Linked DNA regions of Caenorhabditis elegans. The protein of the gene in region 2 interacts with the protein of the main gene of each other region in a pairwise test. Each region holds a gene or a part of one and is shown on either strand. Other genes may lie near its edges.

Region 1 (12,477 bases), on a different chromosome or scaffold from region 2:
ACAATAGTCATCTAAATTCATAAATGCCAAAATACAATCTTCTTGTTCAAAACAATTATCAACGCATTCTTTGTTTGAGATAATATTTCCACTTTGGATATCTACTTTCTCTACCATCCCGAATATTTTCATCATTTTCAGTTCGCCTAAAACTATATTATAGAAAAAAATTGTTTTGTTTTGCCAACCTGAGTTACAGACTCCCACAAACAGAATGAGATGGAGAAAAATCAAATTATAATTCAGATGCATTGAAAGTAGGCAGTCGAAAAAAGAAAATGTGAGATGTCTAGAAGAGTGTTGTAAAGTTGTAAGTAGGATGTTTCCATAGAGAGCATAATTTATGGCTTGAAGTTAGAAGATTTAATTTCACAGTTTTATGTTTAAACCAGACTACAAAAAAATCACATAACAATGATCAAACTTTTTTCAGGTCTTGGGCATCGGTCAGTCTCTGGTCAATCGTGCTAAATCACGAGGATCTCCACTAGGTGACAAGGCTTTCCAACTTTTCATTTCAAGAGATCTCTTCCAGAAGCCCTAATTGAACAATGATATATCCAACATCTGACCAATGTATGTTCAAGATGTACTTAAGGACTCTTCACAACATTTAGGTGTAAGTTACCAACAGTTGGTCAAAACCACTGTCGAGAACTTGATCTGTTCCAAAATTATGTTAGTTGATTTTTTCAATTATTTTATTTCAAATTCTGACTCTACAATTAAAAGTGAAATAATAAATTGTTTTTTAATGACACGGCAACAAACTACGTTGTGTTATGAACTTTCCAAAACATCCACGTGACTTAGTTTTTAGTTCCCTCGGAAGAAATAAATTCAGTTTAACTTTTACGAGCATCAAAGTTGTTCAAAATTTTCATTGCCGGATTGATTTTTTAGCTGCATTGCTGACAAGTGAGTTGAAATTACAGACATTTCAGGTACTATTGTATATGTCATTCGGGTTCAGATTTTTAGCCAGAGTTTAATTTCTTATTTCCAACTTGGCATATTTTAACTATTTATTTGACAAACTACGGAGATTTGCTTTCCACGAAACCTCAGCTTTTGGTAACTCTTGAGCTGCTGAAACTATTGATTGCTTGGTAAATTCACGTCATGCTGATGTCCAAAATTTTAAATCAAAATCAAGTGGATACCTCTTTTCAATTTATATTCTCAGGATCAAAAGAATGGACAAAGGAAAAGGTTCAAAAAGATCAACACCAAGTTTGCGCGCCAAGAAGAAAACTGGCACGGATAGACAGAAGCCGTCTGTAAAACAAAATGCATCTCAAAACTCAAAGAAGAGGTAATTTAATATATCTTTGAACTGGCTTTTAATATTTCAATTTTCAGTAGCAGACAGAAAAAGACCCCCAGTGTTGGAAAAGAACGGGAACAAGCAACGGATAAGAAACGAGAAATTGAGAAAAAACCACAGGAAAAGACTGCTTTGGTCAGTTGGAGAAATAATACGTAATCGATTACAATTGTTTTGTTTTCAGGATGAGCAGCAAAGGAAAGCTCAAACGGAGACTATCAGCAACTTGGAAATCCTTCCGGACAAGAATCCTGCTAAAATGGATGACGGTTATGAAGATTTCGGTCCTGGTGCAGCTGCTCGCTAAGTGCATCTTCTTTTGAGAATTCTGGTTTCTGGGAAATAAAGTGCTTATACTTTCCTCACGTTTACTACATATAATGCATTTGGGATGTTTTTTCTCAGTTTTAATAAATAATTTTGTATAGTTTCCTTCAAAGCACAACTAACAAAACGAGAAGGTTTAATGTTAAACATGTCGAAATATGAAGTCGCAATTCCCCTAGAGGTGTTTTAAATAAACACTTCTTCTCTTTTGGAATAACTGCTCCACTAAACTGTTCACACAGGAGCAGGAGAGCCTACCGATGAGCCTATAAGACTTGTGTAATTCATCTGAACAATTTTATACGAAACATGGGAAGTTTGAAGTTTTTTGCAGTGGTTTACAGTTTTCGCCAATGACTTGGTCTTAGACTGCTTTTGTTGTTTGCATTTAACATTGAAAGTGACCAGTAGTTGTCAAAAGAAGAACTTCAGCCAAAAATTGTAAAGCCTTGCAAAAAAATGCACGTTTGTCCGAGTTTAGTACAAAGTACAGTCTTTTAAACAAAAACCCAAAGGAGCGAGTTTTGACTGGCTTTCAAAAACTGAGTGATTACTAATTATTTTTGAAAAAATTAACAGTTGTGATATGATATTTAGACATTTTTGCAATATATAATTTGTTTGAAAAAAAAACATTTTTTAATGGTCTTCGAAGCTATAATAGTTTTTCGTAAAATTTTAAATAAAACAGCTGACAGATATCCACATTCAATAATTGAAAGTATGCAGTTCTCTTTTTTTTTGTCAAATAGAAAAAAAGTAACAGATGGTCAGATATAATCTAGGTTAATCTGACTCTGGTCATCGATGAACTCATTTTCATCATAATCATTCTTCTTTCAAATGGTCTGTTCGGAATTCGAATATTCAATAAATGGATATCTTATTAGATGCTCCGGATTTATTCCACCAAACTTCCAAGACGTAAGTTCAATTTAAACAAAATTACTATAGCTTGAAAAAATGAGAAAAAACGAGCAGATAAAAAAATAACAGAAAAAATCCATAAAAATGACGAGGGTTCCGTGCGAAAATCGTCATTGTTTTTGGCTTGCATCACACTTTTCCGCGAGTCAGCCACACTGTTTTATCGATTATTATTTTTCTGATTTCAGAAACCGGAAACTTACAACTGAGATGCTTTCATTTTGATTTTTTTAAATTTAGTTTTGATTTCAGCGATTTGTTTGAATATAATTATGCATGAGTTGGCTTTTGCATTTTTAGATAAATAAGTTCACATGCTCGGACAAATTGTGTGGTTTAATCTGTGAAAGTTTTGAATCTTCTGTTTGAAAAAAAAACATTTTTAATTTGTATATACGAGTGAATTGGTTAGGCCCTGGTTACGTTTTCCAGCGAATTCATTCAAATTTCTTATTTTTTCTATTTTTTCAATTAAATAATTTAGTTCTCTATCACATGTGTATGATCAAAATTTCATTCCTAATCGTAAGCAAATTTAGGCTCATCCGTAGTATAATTTTGTTATGAAGGGCTTCACAGTAAAAGCTCAAACTCCAACATTTAGCAACTAGCAACCAACAAAAAACCAAAGAAATGTCAGTTTTGAAAAGTCGTTATTTCTTTGTCTTCTCACAATTCACACATCATCTTCTCGTTTTCCTCCGTTTTTTTGTCGTGCTTCCTTCTTTTCTTTACACATTTTTCTAACCTTTTTTTAAGTCTATCCTCTCCTAATCCTTTGTACTCTCTAATCAGTTTTGCTGGTTGTGCTGCACAATTTTTATCAGATTTATGCGCGAAACAAAAGCCTCTCGCGGAGAGCTCCGCCAAATCCGGTCTTCTTTTTTCCTTGCCTATCGGATTTCACAAACATTCAGTTTGTCACTTGACGATGTGTTGGAGGCATTACTACTAGGAAGTGTTATTCATATTTTTTATTCGTTTCTTTTTGGTGACTAAACGAAATATTCCGAACGTTTTCCTGATTTCAGGCGGCGGAAACGAAGAAGACCATGAATAATCAACAGGCTGCCATTGCATCCGCCAGAAGTCGAGTGAGTTCTTTGAAAATCTTTATTAGAGTTATTTGTGACAATTTGCCACTTTTTTTTTAATGTTTAATGAATCTGTAACGAAATTAATACCAAGGGTGTCCAACAGAACTATCTGAGCGGTTATTTAATTTTTAGATAGTATATTTCTTCCGATCGTAACATACATATTTTCAAGCATAGTACTGTGATTTAAGTTACAGTTTTCCAATCAGTCTTGATTTTAATAAAAACTTTTCAACTGCAAAAATGCCTCTGAAGTATTTTTCTATATTTTTATAGTTGAATAATTTTTTGATTGGCACAAAGACCGCCGAGATATGAGCCGTTAAAGTAAAGCTGCATGGATTCAATATGGTTTGTATTTGATTGGAGTCACTTACATGGAAATATTTGTATTTAAATCTCATATTTTAAAACAAGACAAACACCAAATTAAATTTTTATTAATCTGAACATTTTTCAATCGATTTGGTAAACAAATTATTAGATGTTTCCCTCAAAAATTGTAACAATTCCTAAATTGTGGCACTTATAATAACATCGTCCTGAATTCTCAAAAAAAACCGAATGCTAAGAGAGATTTCGTTTAACTGGGACCTGTAACTGAATTTTCAAATATTGGCAGTTTTTGATAAACTGGGAGGGAAATCAAAAACCAAAACTACAGTACCCCTCGTGTTATAATAAATTGTCATTCACTCCTTTTTTGTTCCCAACATTTGCTCCCATCTCCTGACGAGAAAGAACAATTTTATGAGCACGGGAACCCGTGGGCGTCCATCCGTTCCTCCTGTGCAATTTCAGCCCCCTTCCTCTACATTCTCTGTGTTCCCGTTTTTATCGTTTTATGGGTATCGGGAACGGACAGATCGCTTCCATTTGCTTCTATTCCGTCCTCACAAGACGTCCCACTAACTGATTTTCTTCTGATTTCTTTTCACTGAAAATGGGAAAGAAAGAAAAAGACGATGAATCGACGACTTCTTCTCAGGAGAAGGTGAAGAAGAAGGATAAGGAGAAAGTTCATCTAAGGCTGAAAGATAAAGTAAAAAAACTTAGAAAATCTAAGTCGATTGCAGTATCTTCTCCAGCTGATTATATGACTTGTCAGTGTGAACCATGCAAAAAAGTAGCTCTCGAGGTAATAATTTTTAAACTCAATACGTAGTTAAGTTTGAACTCCTTTTAATTTACTTATCATCTAATTTACCGTCACAATAGTACTTCCATTAGCAATTATTTTAAAATTACATGCATAGCTTCAATGTTCGTTTTTTTGCGTTCTCATATCGTATGTTGTCTGCCTCTCGAATACTGACTGTCCGACTAGAATGTCCCGGTAGGATTACTGTACGGTCACTGGGAATAAACTGTTTCTGAAATCAATCTGAAATTCCGTAGATCTTCTTGGTTCAATTTCTTATTCCTCAATCTTTGGACAACGTCACCTTCAGAGTCGTCGTTGAGTATCCCATCATTAACTAGTCAATCTTTCTCTCTTTTTCATTTCCCCCAACTTTTCTGCATATTTTTTGACGACGACGACCTCGACGGCAACGAGAATACATTTATCTATTTTTTAGTATAGCATATATACATTTTCTACTTTTCTCTAACCCATTTCAGACGTATAGATTTTGGTTTTCGAATGCAACTTTGAGATTTTTCAAAGATCTTCAGATGGGAGCAGTGGACTGTCTATTTGATATTCTTAAAATGTACTCTATAAAAGATGAAACTGTAATGACCAATTCCCTACATAAATATTTTTAACTAATTGGTCGGATATTTGGGGATCAGAGAAGTACTTGTTTTTGCGATATTAATAATGATATATTTTTCTAGTAAAAAAATGTTAAGCGATTTGTGAATAATTAAGTTGGCTTGAAAAAGATTTTTTGATAGCTATGTATTTTGTTAATTTAAATCAGATTTTAAAACTTTATTATTGACTATTTATATATATTATATATTATATATTTTCATGGTTTAATCAAAATCTATTAAATTATTTCTAAAATCTCTAAATATCGAATTCTCTAAAAAGCTTCATCAACAAAAGCATTTCAATTATCTAACACAATGAGAATAATTCAAGAACTGAAATAGAAAGAAATCTAGAAAAAAAAGAGAGTGAGGTGCCCTATTAAATCGGTGCTCTCCTCTCTAACAGAAGCGCCTACACGCACCCAAGAGAGCTCTTTTTCTTTCTTTTTTCGGAGCACACATACACGCATACACTCCTCAGAAGTGTATAGAGAAAATGGGAGAAGAAGCGAAAGAAGACGAAGAAGCGGTTGTGATGTATGCATCGGGCGTTTCTATCTCTCTCCGTGAGCAACGAGCTAGTCAACCCATCGATCCATTTTTGTGAGCACACACAGAGAGAGACTCAAACACACTCACAGCTTCACACTGAGCTCCAAGAGCTCTGTAGAGAGAAGCCAGAGTATGCTTTCCTCGATTTTCCTAACGTCTTCTTCTTCTGCTTTTTTCTTTTTCCCAACGAGTTGTAGTCCACTAACTTCAATTTTTCCTCCAGAGAAAGAGTTTTAGAGAGACAGCTGATAAATACACTAGAGAAATAAAAAGAATGATAAAAATTTGCTATTTTAATCAGTTCCCTCTCGTTTCTCTAAGTTTTGTTGTTGGGTTGGGAAATTAAAATTGGAAAATGGAAATAACGTTTTTTTCTGTCTAATCTTGAATTCTCCAGACATTTCTTATTTCCTTTTTTGTTGCAAGTTTTTCTTCCTTCTCTAATTTTTAATCAAAGATATCTCGCTATGAACTTTGAATTTTTGATATTTTGATTCTATAAATACATAAAGTAATCTAAATGCTCTTTTAAAATAAATCTACAGTAGCCCTATTTTCAGATGGCGGCTGGCGGACAACCTCAAGGCGCTACACCGGGACAACCCGATCAGAACTTTGACTACATGTTCAAGGTGAGAAGAGCTTTTTAAAGTGGAGGCTTAAGATATTTATTATGAAATATTTATGATGTTGTTGACCTAGTTGGTAGGGTGTTTTGAAATGTAGAAGTTGAAATAAAATATCATATAAATATAGGCATGCCATCCCTATTAGTAACTATTTTTCAATAGCGCTTTTTATAAAAGGGTGAGATAATTCATTAAATCTTTGGGGATATTAAGAGGGACAGGATCAACTAATAGATTAAAAAAAAGTTTTAACTGGTATTTTCAAAAAAACCGCCCGGAATCGCCTCCTAAAAACTCTATAAAAAGACCTTTAAAAAATGCATTTAAAAATTTGATTTTATTTCACAACAGATCATAGTTTGCTTAATTTTTTTTTTAATTTTTGATTACTTAAAAGTCCTTTACAAAATTTTGCCAAACGACCAGTTTGAAAAATAATTGCGTTGTTAATTTGATCTAAAAACAGATTTAAAGTTTGTTTCTTCATTTTTTCCAAGTAACTAACTACATACATATAATTGCACCCTCTCATTCGTTTTTTTAAAACAAAAATTCAGAATGAATATTTTTTTTCTAGTAATTATTCTAACTAATTACTGTGTCTCTCGTTCTTTTTCCTACAATTTTCATTTTCCCTCCTCTACACGTTTTTCTCTTCGCCCGTAATTTCCAGTCGAGTGCTCTTTTTCCAACTCTCCATCCTCTCTTTGAGCTTCCCGTTGCTCCCAGAAGAAAAGAGGAAATTCGTTGGAAAAAAAAACTTTCACTTTTCTTTCTTCCATCCTTCAGAAATAGGGAGAGGAAAAGAATCGATGGGTGTCTCTGGGAGACTCTCTGGTTTCATATTTTATTTGACAAACCGGGACTCACTTTTTCGTAGAATAAAAGGGAGTGAGAGATGGAAATGGAAGAAGAATGGAAAAATGAGAAGAGCTACACGAATTCTGTTGCGAATATGAATAACACGAGAAAAGGAAATAAAAAAGAAAAAGAAATAGCTCGCAAAAAAAACTAAATTTGGCGGGGGAATCTGAAGATTGGGATAAATTTTTATTGACTGTGGAAAAGTGACAATTACTCAATTTTGCAAAACTTATCTTAGGTTTCAAATATATATATATATATATATATATATATATATATATTTTATCTTAGGTTTCAAATACCTAAATTTGAACATTTTTGGAAATGATAGCAATACTCCAAATTCAACAAAAATTCCAATCTTCGAAGGGTTCAATTTTAATGTTTACTTTTTTTTGGAATGTTATGAGAGTATTTATAAAAATTCCAGCAGACAATACTTCGCCTTTGAATAGATAAGAAACCGCAAAAATTGCCCAATCCTAAAATTTTATCCTAATTTTTTCAGCTCCTGATAATCGGAAATTCATCAGTTGGAAAAACATCATTCCTCTTCCGTTACTGTGATGATTCATTCACTTCTGCCTTCGTCTCTACTGTCGGAATCGATTTCAAAGTGAAAACTGTGTTCCGTGGAGACAAACGAGTCAAACTTCAAATCTGGGATACCGCCGGACAGGAGAGGTACCGTACCATCACCACCGCCTACTATCGTGGAGCAATGGGATTCATTCTGATGTATGACATCACTAATGAAGAGTCTTTTAATAGTGTTCAGGATTGGTATGTTGAGCATGGTTTTAAGAAAATATGTATCTTGATTCATTTCAGGTGCACTCAAATCAAGACATACTCATGGGAAAATGCTCAAGTTGTTTTGGTTGGAAATAAATGTGATATGGACTCTGAAAGAGTTGTATCTATGGATAGGGGACGCCAACTTGCTGATCAACTTGGTAAGTATTTTGAGAAAAAATTGTGCTGAAAAACGAATTTAATTTTAGGTTTGGAATTCTTCGAAACATCAGCCAAGGAGAACATTAATGTAAAGGCAGTTTTTGAGAAGTTGGTGGAGATTATTTGTGATAAGATGGCAGAGAGTTTGGATAAGGTATGGTTTTGGAATTGTAGATTTTTTAACTTGTTTTTATTTTTGAAAAAAAAACGTAAATTTTATGTATATAGAAAATGGCATGATAGAGATTTATATTCTAACGGTCTCATGGGCCTCATGATTTCCTGCATCTGAAAATTTTAGTTCGCTTCAAAACCCGGGGCATTATCTTTTTTTGAAAAACATTGCAATTTTTGTAAACAAATTATAATTTACAATTTATGTTAGTTTATAAAACACTTCCTCTTAATAAAAATCTTATTAAAAGTAGTTTTTTCAGGACCCACAGCAACAGCCAAAAGGACAGAAGCTCGAAGCGAATCCGACCCAAAAGCCTGCTCAACAGCAATGCAATTGCTAAAAATTCTACGTTCTATTATACTATCTATAAAAACTCAAAATTTTCCCAAATTCCAAACGCAATAATATTAATTTTCTAAAAGCGCGTAGCTCTCAGTTTTCCCTCTCTCAACATCTAGGCACCAGATATATGGATCGTAAATTAACTTATAAATCGAATTTCTATGATTTTTTGGAAAGTAAGTTTTTTTTTAAATTTAACTTATTTTATTTTAGGGCGTAGTTGGTTTAATTATCTTTTCAAATCCTTTTCACTGTCACTTATTAAGTTTTCATTCAGCGCTATTTTTATTAATATTTTAACTTATTCCAACGTTCAATCATATTCCCCATTTGTAAAAAATCAACAATTTCTCTCAACACTTCCAAACAATTCCCAGAGCTGTGTTTTCTAACTAATCATAGTCGCCTATTATTATTATTATTTTATTTATTGTATTTCTCTATTTCCTTATTTCCTAGTGACTTCCCAGTTCCCAATGATTACACCCACCCGCTGAAAGATTGATTTTGGAGGAAATTATTTTCGAGGCATAATAAATTATTTATTACAAAGAGATATTTCGAGTGAAAACATGTTCAGATTGTAGAAGGAATGGTTCGTAACCAACACTGTGGGTTGATGGAAGAAGAGATCGGGCGAAGAGTTCCAGAGGTCTGTAATTTCAATTATTATATTTTGAATCCCAAATTTCAAAATCTGACTCTGTGAATTCGATTCCAAAATGACGGAGAAGATCGAGCAATGGAGGTTTGTGAGAGTGTACTGACATTGGAACGCTGAAATTGTATTTTATTGGATGTTTCTACTATTTTATCGATTCCCTAAAAAGTGTGATTTTTGATTCTAATCATGGCATAGTGTCCTAGCACGAGCGAAACTTTTCACCCTTCCGTACCCCCACAAGTACTGTAGAGTTGCACTTTTAGTAATTTTACTGATTTGACTTTGAAAAAAAAACAAAAAATGATTGAGAAAATAGTGATAAATGTAAAGAAAATTGGGTTACGGTAACTGAAACATTTCTTCCGTCGCAGGACCCAAGATCTCGGTTTGTGATAAAAAATCAATTTTTGCAAAAAGTTAATAAAACGCCACCTGGCAAAAACAAAATTCTCCGGCAACTCAAACTTTCTCATCGAATCCTTTTTCTTCGCCAACATCAGTGATTCAAATGGAACTTTATGTTTTTGGTTATCAAAATCATAAACTGGATCTCCTTGTGTTGTGATTTTCAGCAATTTCCAAGTGGCAACAACTTCCATTCCCCATTTATCGAATCTTTCTATCATTTCTTCCTCAATTCCTATCCGATTTGTGATCCAGAAAGCAATCAGAGCATCATGAGTTAATATGACAGGAATATCGAGACAATCTAGAACTTCTTCGTCCATTTGATATCTGGAAATAAATGCATCTGTGGAGTTTCTTGAAAATTTCAAAACGCACGTTCGTTTTCGTTTCACTGATTTACTGAACCATGGTGGATCGGCAATGATCAAGTCGAAGAGGAGATCTGGAATCTAATACTTTAACATTTCAAACAGGAATTTGAAAGCTAACCATGTGCTCTTGAATACTGTTCAATATCCTTCACATCTCCAACATGAAATGTAGATTTAGGAGGTATATAGAATTTTGTTCCGTCTGAATTTTCAATGATACCCGGCTTGTCGCCAGAGCACCGTACCCAATTGTTGATCATTCCATTCGACATTAAATTACTCAAGGATTCTGATTTCTGGAACTCGATTATTTGCTCTGAAGATGCAGAAGCACTGGGGATTGACACGTTCAACGCTCTGAAATATATAAATGTATGATATTTAGTTTACAGCATTTTTCATCCACTAACGTTTCCGCAGCTTTTCTGGATTTCAAATTATTGTCCAAGATTGATTTTTTCTTAAAAATTTTTAATTCAGTGCCAACATTTTTAATCTTTAATGCCATTTGTTCCATCCTATTTGAATTTTCTGAAGTTTCTTTAATTTTTCTTTTTCGATTTGAAATTCCGCGACGCTTGATGGCTTCGAATTGCGAATCGGGCATAAATTTTGAGCTGATCTCATATAATTCTGAGCGAGTTTTCAGATTTAGTTCTTTGAAGACTGAATCGTAGTATTTCTCTTCATCAAGAATCGCAAATTCTGTGTCCATGTGAACTATTGACATCTAAAACCTCATGTTCTGCCAAAAAAAAGCTCATTAACAGGTGATGAATGTATTTCCCAAAGACCCAGAATCTGTAGACATACTGAAAGGGAATTCGAAAAATGCAAATTTTTATTATTTAAAAAAAAAGACCGAGATCAGAACGATGAATTTCAAAATTATGCATCAATGGATTGGGGGAACTTTGGGGAGAATGCTCACAACACATGAATTAAAGTGACTACAATTGAAGAAATGATGAATAAATATGAACAAAAAAGATAATAATTGAAAATAAGATAAATTAAGATGAGCTCAATGGTGCTCACCAATGAGTGATTTTATAATTACAAATATTCCGATTCCAGCGGCCACGAATAGCGACTTGACGAGTGAAATCCAATGAGAAGAAGAATGATTTGAGTGTGAATGAGTTGTGTCAGCAATAACATTCTGAAAATTGGGAAATCAGTTTTTGAAATAATAGTTTTTGAAATAATTGAAATAATAAAATATTAAAAAAAACTAACATGACTATGTCCATGACCTCCTTCTCCGCTGTCATCTGAATGCAACTCCATTGGAAGAAGCTCAACAAGAGCCACGTGTACAAAAGTTCCTGCTGCTAATCCTTCAAGCCAATATCTTCCAATTCTTTGCCACATGTCGTTTTCGATTCCGTCAATCTAAACTTTTCAAATTTAAAATTTAGAAAATATCGAGTTGATAAAAAATATACCGTTGTAGCGAGAATCATTCCAGCTGGAATTGTAGCTGACAAGAAGATTGATGAAGTCCATGCATACTTTCTTGAAGCATTATGCTTTGCCAGTTGAACTCCATACGAGACACAACACAGCACTTCATGAAAAAGGACGGCAATCAAAATCTGCCAAAACGCGTTTGAATCATTCTGAACGCCGAGAGCAACTCCTTCGAAGAATGAATGAACTGACATTCCAAGAAGAAGAAACCAGACACGAATGTTCATTGATCCACCGGGGGCAGTTCGACAATGTCCTGATGAAGGTGCATGGTGATGAGGGCTCGTGTTCTACAAACGTTACAAATGAAATTTGAAGAAATAATGCTTCTTGGTGTTTTTTTTACTGTACTCAAAATGACACAAAAATGCATTTTTCAAAATATTTTCCAATTTCAGCTAAAACCTCTTTTCCGTGTCATAGTGGATGGCAATTGATATTTATTTAGTTTTTGTTCTACTATGTAATTTTTTTTCCTTGATCCACGATAATGATATGCAAAACAGAACAATATTTTTTTTATAAAAACAATTTCCGTTTGCTACAACACGGAAAATTTGGCAAAGCTTAAGATTTTTTCTAAAATTAGGCTCTTTT
Region 2 (9,500 bases):
TATTAACTTAGCGCTTCGCCGCGCTTACAACTTTTGTCAACTTTTCTTCTTCCGCATCGCACTGGATTGGAAATCAGAGGAAAAGAGCGACGAAATAGTAATAGTAGTCGTAGTAGTAGCCGTCCGGACATGAATCTGAAGCTGCGTCTCCTTTGGGGAAGTTCATTTCGCAACGCCTTCTTCCGTTTCTCTTGTTTTTTTCCTCCTTCTTCTTCTTCTTCTTCTTCTTATTCCATCTCGGTTTATTTTCAATGAGAACGAGAAAGGCAAGCTGGAGCAGCTAGGAAACACTACTGCGAAAGAAGAGGACTGAGAAAGTGAAGAGCAAAGAAAAATGAAAAACAAGCAGAGAGAGAAAAGTAGTCGTGCTTCACGGAATTGTGGGGAGAATCGATGAGATCTCAAGTCAGAGAGCGCGAGCTTCGTTTCTTCGTCTTCTTTTTCTTCTTTTCGTTGAGATGCTGCCGCTTCCTCTACTTTTGCTTCTTCTTTTTATTTTCCTACTGCTCTGTCGTTTAGTCCCGCGCGGCCGTTTTCCTTGTTATTGAAAGGGAGAGAAAGAGAGGGAGCAAGAAAGAAAAATGGAAAGAAAAGGAGAGGGACTAGTGCCGTACACACCAAACACGAATGAGCCAAAAACGCTTGTCTCAAAAAAAAAGAAAAAGTTTTGGTGCAATGCACCGCTGCACTCTAACCTCACTGCTCCTTCCCTACCTCATCTCACTTTTTGTATTTAGGCACTTTGCTCGTGCATTTTTGCGTTACTGTTTATTATAGAAAAACCAGCTTTATGAACTAAGCAGATAGCTAGTACCCAATAAAAACATTCCGAAATTTTCATGTATCCCGATGTATACTCCATTGATTATATTGCATCATTTTCCTCAAAATTACCAGGTTCTAAACATATTATTAATCTATAAGATATTAGACCAAATGCACATAGTGTAAAAGAAAATTTAGCATGTAATTATAGGATTCAAGCTTTTTTAATACCTTTCGAAATAGACCCCTATAATTTCTTCACTGATCTTTTTCAATCAGAACGAACATTTGTTTTTTGCTGCATTGAGGCAATCGAGCTAACAATTTTCAGACGGTAAAGTACCGAAATCTGTGGCCTTGCTCTTTTATACCGAAAAAAGTCTAAAACTATCTGATTGCGAAACAAGTCGTTCTGAAAATTAAAAAAAAAGTTATGCCGGATTAAAGTATTCGGAAAACAAGGCTAAATTTCAGCTAAAATCTTTATTTTCCAATTTATCAGTGCCGAAGTGCATTTGTACATTGTGCACCCATCGACATTAAAACAAAAACAATCTTAATCAACGGAACAAAACTTAATCAATTTCCGAATTATGCATAGTGATATTATGGAGAGAGAGAGTGATATTAGAATACAATTACTTCCATGAGTTGTGACTTTGATAAAATAAAAAATGTTTAGATTTTAGCTGAAAGTAAGTTTTATTCCGAAACTTTGAACCTCCTTAACTTTTTTTTTTTAATTTTTGGAATTTTTACAAAATCCGGTACTTTTGACTCATTTTAAATCTAAAAAGCAAATTCTAAAAGCGCGATGAGTGTGTCTATTCCACCTTTAAAAATATCTAAAAATACATGATTATTAAAAGTAGAATATAACACTTTTAACTCCCACTCCGGTAGTTTTTTTTTCAAATATAGCTTTTTGACCCATTGCATTTTGCGTTTTTTCACTTCACTTCCCCTTGCACCTGAAATATTCAATTTGCACCCAAAAAAGAGAGCACTTCTCTGTAGTACAAACATGCGCAGTCTGTTTCTATTCTTCCACAACTCTCTGCACCTTTGTTTCCATCAGTATTCCCACATGCACTTCTTTTCCTTGTGCCCTCCAAAAAATATTTTATTTTCTTACGAATCCCACGTTTTACCCACATTGTCAGTGGACCACTGATTGCTGTCAGCTTTTGCCAGGGAAAACCTTTTACCAATTTCTCTCTATCTTTCGTTGTCTTTTTTTTGAAAATTTTCATACACACATAAATGGACATACATTCTTGCGACAACGACACAAGACCCTTTCTGGGTCCTTCCTAACCTTTTTCCCTGCTCGAATGTTTGCAGACGCAATAGTTGAGTGATGTCAGTTATTGACGGAATGTTTTTTGCCTTCTCTCACGTCCACTTTTTCTTGCCCAATACGTTGAAACATTCGAACTGCGCTGAGAAATTGACTCTGTTTGAATTTTGTAAAATTTTCGATGGTAGTTTTTCTAGGTTTTAACTTAAAATTTGTAAATAGCTTTATTAAAACAAAAATAAATTTTTATTTTATTTTTTAATATACTTTGAAACATCTCCATGCTATTTTCAAACAGTTTTTGCTCAGTTCGTGAACTATTTTTTTCCGTACTTTTGAGAAAGTTTTGAATCTGAAAAAATACTTTCTGGATTTCATAAGTTGTTATTCCAAAATTATATATTTAAAATGCAACAATAACTTTCAAAATTATGCAAAAATTATTAAAAGATAAGAAAAACGGGTACTTGTGTATTACATGCCCTCATTTTAAAAGTAATTTTTTAAGATAAAAAAAATGAAAACGTGAAGCATATTCTTGTATTTTTGGGCTTAGGAAATAACCATTTCTAAGCCTAAAAAGGAAAAATGTAAAAAACCCACACACGCAACTTGGGTATTTCAAATATAGTGTTTTTAAAAGTGCATATTTTAAGAGTAATAGTATTAAATAATTTTGATGTGACTTCAATTGTTTTCAGGAACATTTTATGTTTACCATAACCACAAAAACATATACATAAGTAAAAAACAATCAATTGTTTTATCTCGTAGTGGGTTTTTATAGGTATACTTATATTATGATCACTCAAATAACAGATAGAGTTTGAAAACAATTTGAAAATATGTTAAATTGTCATTCATTTTTCAAACTTTGTCCAATTTGATGAAATGTGATTTGAATGCCTTATTTTTAGGTTCAGAAACAGTTTTGTCCTCAAGAAAACCGTACTACGTTTTCACATTCATAACTTTGAAATTCGTTCCGATAGCGTTCCGCTAATAAACAAGAACTCTCAAATGTCTCTGATATATAACAAATCTGAAAAGTATTAATGCACTTCCAAAAGGTAATCTTTATCTTTGAAACATCACATTTACCCATCTAGAAGTTTGTTAATTCTGTTTCTTGTCAGCTATATGAATTGATTCATAACGGATTTTGTCCGCCTTTTATATATCTTCTCATAGTTAATCTAATCTTCAAATCGTGAAAACTCTTTTCATATAACACATTTAGAAATCCAGCCGATGGAATAGGAAAATAGTATATATATATATATATATGGATATGGATATATAAGTGTTGCGAATGTTTAATATTCTCTTTTTTTGAAAAGTTTGTTCGATTGTTGAACAAAAATGTTTTGCTTTTGCTGTGAGTTTTAATAATTAGTTACTTCATAGTCCTAGTAGGAATTCTGAACGTATCTGAAAGGGCATTGAAGGGGCGTGAACTTTTTGGAAAGGTGATCCCTCGTCCTGTTCCCTGTTTGTCTGTCCCCTGTCCTCACCTCCTTCGTCTTCTTTTTCTGTCGTTTTATACTTCTCTTTGCTATGCATTCATGAACAGATAATCCAATTTGAGGCTGAGGCCTGCGTGTGTATGTGTGTGTATGTGTGGAGGCCCTCCAACGAAGAAAGAACAAAACTTGGCAATCTTGAGCATATTGGATAAGCTGCCCGCTGAGTTGCTAATTGTCAACGTTTGGCACAAACGCCACATAGAGCCATCTCGGGATGGAAAGGGAGAGAAGACTGGTTGGGGGAGAAAAGAAGGGTAGAGCCTTTGGAGCATTTTTGTGTTTTGCGGGCGTTGCTCCATCCCTTCGTCGTTTTCTCCACCCTGCGTTTGCGCATCAGTCGCCACACGCCGCTAGCCCCCGAGTCCTAAACCCCTCCCTCCCATCTACACACATCCATTTATTTATTAGAAGAGCTCTGAGTAAAACATGAACTATTCGCTATCCGTGGCCTTGTTTTATTCATTGCTTATATCGCATTCGCCCGGGTTTTCCTCCTGGGCGCGCCTTGTCTTTTTTCTTTTCCTCCCGTTTCACCTCCGTTTTTCCTTTCGCCCTCTTTCTCTTTCCTTACGGATACGGGAGGCTCCCCCCACCCCTATCTTCAAACCTTGTCTTTTTTCCGTGCTCAGGGAAACGAGCATGAATTCATTGTCTCAAATGAATGTCTCCTTTTGTGCATCATTAATCTTGCATCGAATTTTGCTTTTTATTCTTACATGCTTTTGTCCACTTTGCACAAGCTGTCCATTTTTTGTCAATTCAAACATCAGCTTGAACCTTTACCTGTCCATGGTTGGCCTTTTTTTATGGCGAAACCTGGCGAACCCAATATCCATCACCCTTCTATTCCTTTTCTTTTCCCGTTTTCCTTCGCTTCCCACTTCCCCACCTCCTACGCTTATTTCTTATTCCTTTCCCGTTTTAGTGCTCTCTTTCTCTTTTTTGCAAAAAGTTCTTGATAGCAGTAAAGAAAAGAAGAGGAAGACTATTTTTGGATGTCCCGAGTTTCCCACGGTATTCATCGACGTCGTCGTCGAAAATGACCACATCCAGTCTTACTGGGCGCTCATGTCTTGGAAAAGGCGTCATTTTTCAACGTTTCTAATCCCGGACGCTCTTATTTTTCCTCTCTCGGTTTCCCCATCTTTGACGCTGTTCTTTTTTTGTTTCAGCGTTGATCCTGTTTTCTTGTTGGCCTTTATTGACATACAACTCTTAAACCGAACAAATTCGTTTCTATTCTTTCTATTCGGATTGTTATCGCGCTTTAGTCTTTTTATACGCTATGATTTCACATGATGCAATAACTCCTTATTACCTTAAAAATCAAACTTCAGTGCCTCATTAAATATAATCATGGACGATCCGTCGATGATGCCGGATTTATCCCATTTATCTGCAGAAGAACGTGAAATAATAGAAAATGTGAGTTGTTCCAGCACGAACCCCCTCCCCCCCCCCCCCCCCCCCCATCGTTCATTTTGCCCATCCGTCTGCTTCTTGTGGGGTTCAAAAAAGTAGTTGGTGCGGTGTGAGTCCTCTGTCTCGGAGCATGACGGGCCCCCCGAGGGGTGAAAGAGCGAGAAAAGGGGAGGGGTATTACTTACAACGCCGTGAGCACACGCAAAATAATGGATATGCAATCAAACGAGTGTGTGCTCTTATGTACATTCGACAAGAAAATTGGCATGATATCATGCGTGCACATACATATAGAGAATACTCACTCAGAACGCTCATGATTTATGTTTTTTGCAGGTCTTCAAACGACAAAAAGATGAGGAGGCAAAAGAAACACAAATATCACAGTAAGAGTTTTGTAGACACATAATTGCATTGGTATTTCTTCATGCGAATGATTTTCCAGAAAAGCATCTGAAGAATTGTCAGAGTTAGACAAACAGATCACGGAGCGGAAAGAAACATCGAAAAAGCTGGTTGGCACACAAGATGACGCGATCTGTCAAATCTGTCAGAAGACCAAATTTGCGGACGGAATTGGTACGTTGTTCCTTTTCCTGAAGAAGCGATGAGAGCAAAGGGTCCTTCTGTCGCCCTGAGATGAGCCTCGTTTTCTGTTCCTAGTAATTCTCTCCGCGGCGTCAGAGAGCCCCTAACCCTTGGCTGTCATCGTCTCTCTAAAAGGACATCAATTTAGCACAAGATGAGAGGTTTTTCAGGCCACAAGTGCTTTTATTGTCAATTGCGTAGCTGCGCCAGATGTGGAGGTAGAGCACAGAGCAAAAATAAGGTACGAGCGGGAGTGAAAGTGTGGGATGAAATAAGGGGAAACATGAAAGAGAAAGGACAAATTCTGGATGACTGCATTTGAATAACAGAATAAAAACCAATTTGAGCAAAATCGACTTGAACATTTTTGCGATATGATGTTGCAATGTTTATATTTTCACAAAAAAAATCTAAACTTTACAATTTATTATAAAATCATGTTTAATTTTATAGTTAATGAATCTAATTTGGAAATCAAGCGAAATAATCGTTTTTACATCTAAAAAAATACGACAGAAGCTGAAAAACAATAGCATCCATTGTTTGCAAAGTAGTTTGGAATAAAGAGATAAATAGAAAGTATTAGCCCCGTGGGTGCACCGACCGATAAAAAAGTAGAGAAGTGAATTGAAGAGAAGAAGTAAAAAGCTTTCAGGCAATCTGGGCTTGTTCGTTGTGCCAGAAACGTCAACAAATTCTTGCCAAAACAGGCAAATGGTTCCAACCCGAAGAGCAGCCGCAGCCGAAAATTAGCGGCTCCGAGCCAAGCCCTTCGCCCCAACCACTAACTGACGACAACGTACCAGAACCGCAGCAGAGGCGAGCAGAGCCGCCTGATAAAATGTGAGTTTCTTCCGGTTTCTTTTACTTTTCCAAGTTTGTGTTTGATTGTTACATGTTCCTTTGAAGCGTTAGTTTCAATCAATCACAATTCAGACTAATTTTCATATTTTCAGGAACACTCCAAATTATCAAAACAACCAACAACCCCGTGGAATGGGAATGCAGCCAAATCATAATCAAACTCAGCAGAATTTCATGAATCAGAACCAAAATTCAAATCAACATCCAAATCAAAACCACAATCAGAATCAAATGCAGAACCCGCATCAAAATCAAAATCATGTTCAAAATAATCATCAAGGAGCCAACAATCATCAACAGAATAATCGAAGAGCTATGCAACAACAGCCAATGAGTCAAAATCAGGCAAATCAGATAAATCAGATGAATCAAAACCAAAATCAACAACAGAGCCACAATCAGAATATGACTCAAAACCAGAGAAACCAGGTACTTGAAGTTGGAAAGTTCCACGATTATTTCAAATTCTACATGTAAATAATTCAGACTGGCCCCCAAAACCAACAAAGGACAAATGACTCTCGAACTATGAAACAAACGCCTCAACAGCAGCCCAGTCAGTATCAAAACAACGTAGGCGCGGCACATCAACACCATAATCAACATGGACAACAAGAGCAGCATCATCAACGTAAGAGCCTCCAGGGGTATAAAAAGAGAAAGTGAAAAACAAAACAAAAAAGTGTTGTGCGCTAAAATTGCGAACGAGACGCAAATTGATATAGTCTGGATAATTTCAGAAATGAATGAACAACGGACGGATAACAACAGAATGAGAGAGAATACTAACGGGCAAGGAGGAATGTTCAATAGGCAGCCGTCATTAGAGGTGAAGGGATCAGGGATATCAAAAACGAGCTTTTGAAAAAAGATTGAGCAGCTTATTATTAGGGTGATACTTCTGTAAAAGTAATGAACAAATGTGAAGAATCATCTAGAGCGGAAAATTTGGTCAGAATTACAGTACTGTCGTACAAAGTTCAGAGTAGAAAAATATATTAAAATGAAAAAAAAAACGAAATTGTTTCTAATTTAGCAAACTACGCCCATGAACAAATACAATCACGTTGAGGATGATGGCATGAACCAGCGGTAAGTATCCCATAAAGTTTAAAAACTTGATACCCACTTGCTTTCAGACCCACGTTCTACACTGGAAATTCCGAGAATGACCAAAGACAATTTGATGGCCAAATGCAACAGGGCTCACAACAAAATAATCAGAATCAGAACCAAAACAACCGAAATCTTAGAAAAAACACAGTCAGCCGGGTAACAGAGGAGGATTATGCAAGTTCGTCAAACTTCGAATCTAAGAAACGTAAGATGATATCATATCGATAATACCTTGCTAAATTCTATTTTGAGAATCAATTTCAGAGCGGAACAACTCTTCACAGAGTCAGTCCAACACGCAAGGCGTGCGAGCATGTCCTTCTACTGACGACCATTTGAACCGGGTGAAAAATCGATTGCATAGGTGAGCAAGTGTAATTTGGCTAATGGAAAAAATAGACAAACTCAATTGAGTAATGTCTTTTTTGTACTAAGTGCTCAAGCTTTGAGTTCATTGCTTTCCCTCTTCCAGTTACGTCTCCATTTTCTCATTATTTAGCATGACTTCCTTTTTGTTCTGCTGATCACTTTTTTAGTCAAACCAACAGCAAAACAGAAACCAGAAGAGCGCCTTTCGGTTTCAATGCAAATTTTTAATGAGCATTGCCTCATTTAGCTTTTTTCGCTCTTCATCAGTAGTTCAATTTCACATAAACTGCATTTTTTGTCATACATTCTTCTTCATTTTATTTGTTCAAAGTAATTGTTTGAAGGCAACTTCGATCAATGTCATCTTCTGAAGAGGATATTATTGCTGGAGGCGGTGGTAACACTTTGAAGATGTCTACGTCAGCAGTTGTGGCCTCTGGTGGGAAAACCGCATTTCATGATGATATGGGAGCGTCGAATGTGCAGAGGTTGTCCGAGGAATGCAATTCTGAGAAGGGTTTGTGTGCGTACTCTTGAAATCCCATGTTGACATTTTGATGAGTTTTTCAGACCTCCTTCGATATATTTATGGCGATCATAAAAACTCGGATTCATCGTCGTTGGGCGCTGGTGTAGGCGGCAGTGGTGGTGGCGGTGTCTTGAGCGGAAACAGCGTGCTGAAAAGTAAATCACATGCTTTACTGAAGGGGTCTTACCAAGGGGGTTTAGACATGCAAGCTAATCGAAGGCGTGACAAATCGCTGTCCTTGTCACCATCGAGAAATGATCATTTTGGAACAGGGAGCATATCTGGCGGAGATTTGTTGGCATCACGGATACGAACATTTTTATCAGTAAGCCTGTTTTGATACAAAAATTATAACTAAATGTCCTACATATTCAAAAAAAAAAGTTTAAAAGTTTGACAAGTTTCCAATTGGCAATGTTTTCAGCATCCTGTAACATGGCAACCTTCTGCTGATCAGAAAAAATTAATAGGGCACATGATACTTCATCGAACTGAAAATTCTGCAGCCAACGGGGATCTCGGTTTAAAAATTGTAGGCGGCCGAAGAACGGATACCGGGAAGCTCGGTGCATTCATTACTCAAGTTAAGCCTGGCAGTGTGGCGGACACCATTGGAAGACTCCGTCCTGGTAATGAGTTTTGAAGTGAGAGACTTTTTTCTTCAACTTTTTTTTCAGGCGATGAAGTAGTAGAATGGAATGGACAGTCTCTGCAAAATGCCACATATGAACAAGTATATGATAGCATCGCTGCAAGCAGATATGATACTTCTGTCGAGCTGATTGTTAGTAGGAGTGCAATGTAAATATACATTTTATTTTTAAACTCTGTCAACATTTTTAAATCTCGTCTTTCCAGTATTCCTGGAGGTGACGACTTCCTCAACCTTACTCCCTCACAAATGTCATCCTCGGCGTATTCAAGAGTGCCATCTGCATATCCATCTCAATTTCAGCGTCAATTACCCAACCCTGACCTTTTTCTTGGTACAATTAGAACTGAGAACTTCAGAATTAAATAA

What was found.
Region 1: the proteins of unc-10 (region 2) and rab-3 interact in a two-hybrid assay, tested with the Caenorhabditis elegans proteins (one study listed by BioGRID).

What each region holds. Positions count from the first base shown.
Region 1 is NC_003280.10:5,718,808-5,731,284, reverse strand, and holds rab-3 (Ras-related protein Rab-3), read left to right. Parts: upstream 1-3,431; 5' UTR 3,432-3,633; coding exon 3,634-3,675; intron 3,676-6,554; coding exon 6,555-6,626; intron 6,627-6,962; exon of another isoform or gene 6,963-7,130; intron 7,131-7,995; coding exon 7,996-8,270; intron 8,271-8,318; coding exon 8,319-8,443; intron 8,444-8,491; coding exon 8,492-8,598; intron 8,599-8,881; coding exon 8,882-8,962; 3' UTR 8,963-9,509; downstream 9,510-12,477. Other genes in the region: C18A3.11 (PAN-3 domain-containing protein), read right to left, coding at 1-252; C18A3.7 (Der GTPase-activating protein YihI), read left to right, coding at 1,197-1,315, 1,363-1,462, 1,512-1,634; damt-1 (DNA N6-methyl methyltransferase), read right to left, coding at 9,510-9,618, 9,667-9,741, 10,061-10,363, 10,412-10,478, 10,526-10,764, 10,818-11,122; zipt-3 (Zinc/iron permease), read right to left, coding at 11,432-11,569, 11,647-11,802, 11,856-12,170. UniProt on the Caenorhabditis elegans protein: Involved in exocytosis by regulating a late step in synaptic vesicle fusion. Could play a role in neurotransmitter release by regulating membrane flow in the nerve terminal. Plays a role in the recruitment of endophilin unc-57 to synaptic vesicles.
Region 2 is NC_003284.9:7,275,749-7,285,248, reverse strand, and holds the start of unc-10 (Rab-3-interacting molecule unc-10), read left to right. Parts: upstream 1-4,926; 5' UTR 4,927-4,947; coding exon 4,948-5,016; intron 5,017-5,165; exon of another isoform or gene 5,166-5,304; intron 5,305-5,349; coding exon 5,350-5,399; intron 5,400-5,458; coding exon 5,459-5,592; intron 5,593-5,646; exon of another isoform or gene 5,647-5,731; intron 5,732-5,771; coding exon 5,772-5,842; intron 5,843-6,256; coding exon 6,257-6,444; intron 6,445-6,557; coding exon 6,558-6,894; intron 6,895-6,951; coding exon 6,952-7,096; intron 7,097-7,205; coding exon 7,206-7,294; intron 7,295-7,501; coding exon 7,502-7,557; intron 7,558-7,604; coding exon 7,605-7,786; intron 7,787-7,845; coding exon 7,846-7,945; intron 7,946-8,294; coding exon 8,295-8,467; coding exon of another isoform or gene 8,468-8,473; intron 8,474-8,520; coding exon 8,521-8,804; intron 8,805-8,903; coding exon 8,904-9,108; intron 9,109-9,156; coding exon 9,157-9,280; intron 9,281-9,337; coding exon 9,338-9,465; intron 9,466-9,500. UniProt on the Caenorhabditis elegans protein: Regulates the efficiency of a post-docking step of the release pathway. Acts after vesicle docking likely via regulating priming. May regulate the conformational changes in syntaxin.